Nothobranchius furzeri: one gene and its partner. The protein of the gene in region 1 binds, or shares a complex with, the protein of each later gene. Links are inferred from orthologs where the notes say so. Each region holds a gene or a part of one and is shown on either strand. Other genes may lie near its edges.

Region 1 (4,344 bases):
AAACTGTATTTAAGGATTATTTGTCATTTTTAAGGATTTTTAAGGCCTTAAATGTAGAAAAGCAAATTTAAGACTTTTTAAGGACCTGCAGATACCCTGTTAAAAACAAAAACACTAACTTCAAAATTCTGCTTAAAAACACATTTTTATTAGATTTGCTTAAAAAAATAACATAATTCTGAAATATTTTCTTGAACGACCAATTTAATTATTTCTCTCAGACATTTTGTGAGCTTTTTCCAGTCAAATGTTTTTATCTAACCTTTTGGGGTCTGCTGTAGGGCCCTGCAGCTATCGAATATTTTTGTAATCGAGTACTCTATCGAATATTTTATCGATTAATCGAGTACTCTAATAAATTACCCTTTTGCGTTTGTAAACCATTATATCAAACAGCATGTTATAAAATATGAAAGACCTCTTAAAATGAGCCCGCAATTGCCAGTTATTCTTCAAGTTTTATTCAAATTTAGTTTTCAAAACTTCAGCACTTCAACTGTAAACAAATGAGAGCGGCTGCGGCCCAAACAGAACCAGAACCGCTCACGGCGCATGCGCAAACATGGCTCGCCAGCTGTTTCCCTATTAACACCCGTCCGTTTTAATTTCTACACTTTTTTGTCTCACACAATAACAAGGATTGTCGAAAGCATGTTTGCCGTTGTTATGTCAAATTATACTGTTCACAAAACATTTATTTACTTTCTTTCGTTTTCCTCCGCCACTCATAAATACCCGTGTCCTCCTGCAGCAATCCTGAGGGACAACGGACATCAATAACAACACAATAAAAAGTCCGACGTGTTGTAAAAACTGCTATTTTTAGCACATTTTAAGACCGACGTGTTGCTACCAGACGCACGGTGTGAGCTGAAACTGAGTGCTACAAACGAAAAAGTCACAGTGTCTGCAGAATATATAGAAATACAGGCTAAAATGCATTATCTTGTAGAGGCTCCGAGTCCGCTTGCAGAAGTGACATTTACATGTGGATGTTTCCTGGTCAGGTGCTGCAGCATCGAGGATGTGGTGTTGTGGTAGGCTAAATCCATTTTACAGTTTTTAAACTAGAGTACGTTTTCCGCCTTACGACGTGAAAAATGGTCCCACACCTTTGACATTTTCTGTCTTTTTCGCACTCCACCGGGGTCCACGTTGTTCGCCATGGCTTAAAAGAAAGTTCAGTAGCGTCCGCTACTCGCGTGTGCATTCAGTGCAGTATGTATGTGCGTCACTTATTTCGGTCTGGGTGAAACATGACCCCGGGCGATTGCAAAGCCATGAATTAATTAAACATGAATGAAACGAAGCCTCGAGGCAGAGAATTTGACTCGAGGATTTTTGTACTCCAATTATTCGAGGTACTCGAGGAATCGTTTCAGCCCTAGTCTGCTGTATCGTTACCCTCGCTTTAAGAAAACAGAAAAATAAAACATTATTTGAACTCACTGCTGTCCTGCAGCAGGGCTGCCTACAGATTCATTCTCGTTGAGCGCCTCCTCCTCTTCTGGTTTTGTCTCAGTTTCCTCTGCATCATCAGGAGCTTTGGCTCCATTCAGATGACCTGCTGCCACGTCTTCCTCAGCCCCCTCTTCCTCCTCACACCTTTGTTCTATTGTTGCTTTAAACAGAACAGAAGAAACTATATAAATGATATATGTAAGTTTCAACTCTAATGTGTATAACTTCATATGAACAGGACTTTACTTTGTGCAGATGCAGCAGGGTTTTCTAACACACCACCTTGTGATGGGACCGCATCTTGTCCCAGCTCCTCCTCACTCCTCCTGGACCGTTTGGCAGAAGGTGGGAACCCCTCCTCTGAAGTCTCTCCGACTTCTACAGACTCACAACGTCTCAGTGAGGCCTGTGGAGGGGGCTCGCTGTCTGCTTCAGAGTCTGCACCCGCCAGGCCTCCACCCTCCCCACCTCCGGCTGAGTCAGACATGGCTGTGTCTCTGTCCTCCTCTGTCTGGTGTCTTTTTGTCCTGCTGGGAGAGTGCTGTCAGACGTGGGTGAGGTAGGTGCTACTAGGATAGTGCTTCTTCCTGCAGTGTGGACGATTGAGTCTGTCGGGGTTTGATGACATCACCCACCTGAGATAAACAGGTAACAGGATTGTGATTCCAGACCAGATTCTAGAAAACTGACCATTTCAAAATAAGAGCGTGAGAAAGGCTATTTTTTATACAATTATTTTAACTTTAAAAGACCAGCTAACATTTTAGAAACGTAATCTGTTACTATAGCAAAATGCATGGAAAGGTCGGGTTGAACGTATGTGAAGTTTGTGACGACTACAACTACTTAAATTTTAAGTTTTAACTTTTATACAAAGTTTCATCATTAGTGCACCTTAATTATAATAATTATAAAATTAAAGAGGCATAAACACGGATGTTCCAACACCTGTAGCTACTTTAACGAGCCTTCGTGTTCATTTTTAGCAAACCCGACAACTTGTTACAACAGCCGTCGTCTATTTAACTTCAAGTCCACAACATTCATGTAAATAAAGTAAAAACACCTTTGAGTCACGTTTTGGACCACTAACAGAGACCGCTACACTGTGTTTGCTCAGGTTAGCATTGACCGAGCTAACGGGTTGTTGCTACCTACCTGCGTTGTGCTTCGCCTGAGCGTTGATGCTTCGCTGTTTTCCACTCAGCGGTTTTTAATTTTAGACGAAAACAAATTCTACAAAACTAGACGAGGTCTCAGAGGTAGATAACTTAGTTGTCAGTTCAGCAGCTCATTGCGAGAAGTTGTAAACACCGTAGGCGGCCATGTGTCCTAAAGTATCGCGAGACTTCCGTTTTAGAACGTTGCTAGAGCAGGTTACATAATTAGTGGACTTCCTAAAGGAGAATGAATCATGTTTAGACTATATTCGCTTAAGAAAACGCTCAATTTAGTTGTTTTACGGATGTTAGGAACACCTAATGTGAATGTGATACGTTTTAATAAACTAAATGACATTCAAAAAATAAAATAAACAAGACAAAAAATCTGACTTTTTCCTCTAACATTTTTTTTCATACATTTTGATATGCAAATATTTCGCAAGAATTAAATCTTTAAATAAACAGTTCTGACAGATAAATGTGGTTTATTTAGTATTTATTTTGTTCTTCAAACATGAGTCAAACTATTTACACAGCTCTGTTGTTCTTCTCTGAAACAGTTTCATCAAATATAAAGTATGCTGTTATATCCAACAACAATTACAGACTTGTTAGAGAGGAGCTGAGCTGACCGGAGTAAAATTATCATCAAACCATTCTGCAAATTCATATCCACCCGTGCACCAATCAGTGAGTTGTGTTTGAACCAGAAACTAGTGAACGTGATAATAAAAGCCTTTGTAGTGCAGTAAAATAGAAAAGCAGACTGAGCAATGATTAAGCTCACATATTCAGCTTAAAAACAGGGGTTTGTAGGCAAATTAGACTTTATTGCATAGTTAAAAGCTTGTCCAAGATTTGTTTATAATCTCAAAGTGTCGCGGCGTACCAAAGTCTTGCTGGGATGAGTTTGACCTCCATGGGCATTTATTAGAAGGTTAATAGGTGGTAGAAACAGCCAATTGTGTGGCTATAAATGTCACAAAAACCTAATACGTGACCAAAAAACCCTTTTTTTAAAATGTAATTTGACAAACATAGTTCAGGCTTACACAATGGACTGGTTAACTCCTATTCAGTGCTATTGAAGATGTTCACCACCCAATTAATCTGTCAAAATTCATGTGATTAATATATAAAGCTTGTCCTTATAGGACAATATATGCATCTCTTACCAAATCTTCTGGAGTGTTAAACAAAAAGGAAACTTATTTACCCCAACTGCCTTTTTAACTAGGATCCTAATTAGACACCAATTTGCCCCGATCAGCTCAGCTCCACTGCACAGACTCCAGCTCTTTTTGAGCCTGCACCATCAAAAATCACCTAAATCTGAACAAATTCACTCTCCATTTTAGTGAAAACAAAAGCCTACCACCAGCAAAAAGATTTAAAAAAAAAAGAAAGTCAACACTTCCTGCTCTGTGTGTGTAGAACTAAAGGTGAGTGGATGGATGAGGTTTATGCATCGCAGCTCTTTAAGCCAACAGAAAACAGTTAACAAGGTGGTTTCCAACTAACACTCATTGTTGAGAACATTTTCAGTTAGCCATTCGAGACTTAACTATACAAAATAAGGCATGTTGAACAAACAAATAAAGCCAAAACCCTCTATGAGAAGAAACAAAAGGTATAGTACACTATTTACAAAGCTCATCGTGTATATTGATGAGTTGATGTGTGTGTGTGTAGATGGTTCTAGAGGAGCCACTGGAACGTT
Region 2 (3,050 bases), on another chromosome or scaffold:
GATGCCTTGAAAAGGCAAAATATGCAAAAACCATCTAGCATGGCACGGAAGCACGACGTCCCTAAGTGAACATTTGAGACGAAAACGTGGGGGCTGAGGAAGAGCACCGCGGTCAAGTGAGCCGTCATTTGGAAGAGCCAGCCCGGTAAGTAACAGAAAATAAACAAGCTGGACTTAGTGTTTTAGCTGAGTTCGTTATAGTGGATGTTAAACATGTTTTTTTGTCGCGTCAGTCTACGGTGTTCTACTTCTGATTGACTAGATGCAATCGTGAATCTCCTCCGTGTTGTGAATCATGCGCTTGCCAAATTCAGCACGTCTGTTTATAAGAATGTTCTAGTTAAGAGAAAAACGGCACAAACCCATAACTATGTTCCTCATTCAAAAAAGGACAACTCTGCGGTGAAAAATATACAGACGAGCTGTGTCCAGGTGAATATAACGCGGCATAGTTGTACGCTTTCAATTTTTAAATACAGGAGAAATTCAGAAAAAGTCATTTTTTTACTATTAAAAGGCTGTTTTACTGTCTAACGCTGTAAAACGCCTCACAACACATTTTTATCATGTTTCTTAAACAGTATTACACAAAATAAACATTTTTCACATTTTTCTAGCTAATTTAAACACTCCCGACTCAAAGTAAAAACCTCATGAGCTTCTTACTTAGAGCTTTTTAATAGTAAAAAAATTAGACTTTTTTTCTTAATATCTCCTGTTGCGGCCTATTTTGTAGAACGTAACCCTCAAAATAAATGATCACTGTATATTGTTAATTAATACAAATAATTTAACATTGATTTAGTGTTGTAGTGTGTGTGCTGCTTTATTTTATATGTGTACTTATTTCAGTCTATTTGTGTTTCTTATGCAGAAAAAAACAAGCAACGATGGACAACTACATGGGGAACAAGACACTCACCCCCCAGCAATTCATACCACTTACAAACTCTATTCTAAACATGCTGGTAAAAGACATGAGGCCACTATCCATGGTGGAAGGAGCAGGCTTCCAGCTAATGCTAAAAAATTATTCTGGACTGATATTTTGCACTGTTTAGCTCATTTTATACTGCTGACTGTGTTCATGTGCAATAAAATAGATTGCAGTCAACTGCACAATTCTCTTATGTTTTTTTTTTCTTAACTGAAATGCATCCATCACTTGTATAGGTTAAATAGCTAAACAGTAACAAACCGATTAATCGAAAAAATAATCGACAGATTAATCGATTATGAAAATAATCGTTAGTTGCAGCCCTAGTCTTGTCAAATGCACCGCGTACGTTATGAAAAAAGTTACTTTAAATATTCAACCGAAAAAGAGGCGAGCTGAAGAAAACCTAGAGTGCACTGAAGAAAGGTGAGCAACAGTGAAGCAATCAGAGAGATCCGTTACTGTGTGTGGATGGGCCGGACGGACTGAGCTCCCTGCAGACTTATGTGTAGGGAGGGGCGGGCACTCTATGTGAATGGCCAATCACAGAGCATGAAGACAGTCAGTTACCCAATGAGGATTTTCCTTCAGCACACTTAGATATTTACGAGTTTAATGCTCGTATTCGTCAAAAATGCTTTATCCGTACCGGATACTCGTCTGAAATGAGTATCCGGCTCATCCCTAGCTGTAACCTCCCTGCCCTGCCACCTCCTCCTTGCTGCCTGTCGGCTGTGATCACAAGCAACGGAGTAGTTCCCGCTGCTTCTTCGGGAAACGGCGCAAAAAAAAAAAATTTAACTTGGGATCTTGTAGGCGTGGCGCTGGGATTTCAGCTGTGGCAAGCCGCCACAGCTACACCTATGTAAGGGAAACTCTGCAGACCCACTAGCTGAGGTGGTTTGTTTTGCTTCTTGCAGAATCTCCATAAGCTGAACATCCTTACATCTCATTACACCCCCATACCCAGTGGCAGCAACCCGCTGAAAAGAAACATCAGCGACTATGTCAGGTACTTTCACTAGATCACAGCTCTGACTGAGCTCTATCTACAGTGGTGACCATGCATCTCCTCTCATCAGGTCTGGATTCATCAACCTGGACAAACCAGCCAACCCTTCGTCTCATGAGGTGGTGGCGTGGATCCGGAGGATCCTGCGAGTGGAGAAGACGGGCCACAGCGGGACTCTAGACCCAAAGGTCACTGGCTGCCTCATCGTCTGCATTGACCGAGCCACCAGACTAGTGAAGTCCCAGCAGAGTGCTGGTGAGTGCCCAATGCATTAACCCCAAAAGCTTTAAGAAGTGGGCAAACATTTATTAGCTAATGTACATGCTGTGTGCATGTCAGTAGCCACTGGTGGACTCAAATCTTTTGAATATGTGGCCTACATCCAACAGGAAGTCATCCATTTAGGGTCAAAGATGCCATTTGCAACTTGTTGGTTGTATAAAAACAAAAAGCTTCTGTGTGTTACAGGTAAGGAGTATGTGGGAATCGTTCGGCTGCACAACGCAGTAGAGAGTGAACACGTGCTGGCCCGGGTAAGTCACACCCTGTATTTGCTGCCTTTCCTCTGACCTGACCAGCTGATGGTCCTGAATGTCCTCTGCAGGCCCTGGAGACCTTGACCGGAGCTCTATTCCAGCGTCCTCCCCTCATCGCTGCAGTGAAACGTCAGCTGAGAGTCCGAACCATCTACGAGAGCAAGCTGATCGAGTACGACCCAGAGCGGAGGCTGGGTGAGACACTCATTTTGACGCCGAGGTCATGAAGTTTGATGCTCTTCTGCTTTAAATCATGTTTTTCTTCTGAACAGGCATCTTCTGGGTCAGCTGTGAAGCAGGAACTTACATCAGGACTTTGTGTGTCCACCTGGGACTTTTACTTGGAGTTGGAGGACAGATGCAGGAATTGAGGAGGGTCCGGTCTGGAGTTCTGGGCGAGAAGGTCAGTGTGTGTCCACGTGCATCTTGCTGTTGTGATGGTTTATTGTATCACAGCTGGTTAAGTGATCGCAGTAGGAACCACGTTCAGTTCTCTAGTCCAAAGTGTTGAGTCCAGCTCTGCTGCTTAGTGCCGAGCTGTTAATTAGACTTTGGAAGAGTAAGC

What was found.
Region 2: wrap53 (region 1) and dkc1 share a complex: the UniProt entries of both Homo sapiens proteins name them as parts of the telomerase holoenzyme complex. The link is inferred for Nothobranchius furzeri from reciprocal best matches to the Homo sapiens genes WRAP53 and DKC1.

What each region holds. Positions count from the first base shown.
Region 1 is NC_091742.1:83,817,802-83,822,145, forward strand, and holds the start of wrap53 (telomerase Cajal body protein 1), read right to left. Parts: upstream 2,832-4,344; 5' UTR 2,620-2,831; intron 2,097-2,619; exon of another isoform or gene 1,989-2,096; 5' UTR 1,949-1,988; coding exon 1,708-1,948; intron 1,622-1,707; coding exon 1,450-1,621; intron 1-1,449. UniProt on the Homo sapiens protein: RNA chaperone that plays a key role in telomere maintenance and RNA localization to Cajal bodies. Specifically recognizes and binds the Cajal body box (CAB box) present in both small Cajal body RNAs (scaRNAs) and telomerase RNA template component (TERC).
Region 2 is NC_091758.1:16,260,509-16,263,558, reverse strand, and holds part of dkc1 (H/ACA ribonucleoprotein complex subunit DKC1), read left to right. Parts: exon of another isoform or gene 1-145; intron 146-874; exon of another isoform or gene 875-1,126; intron 1,127-1,857; coding exon 1,858-1,949; intron 1,950-2,019; coding exon 2,020-2,204; intron 2,205-2,417; coding exon 2,418-2,482; intron 2,483-2,553; coding exon 2,554-2,680; intron 2,681-2,757; coding exon 2,758-2,888; intron 2,889-3,050.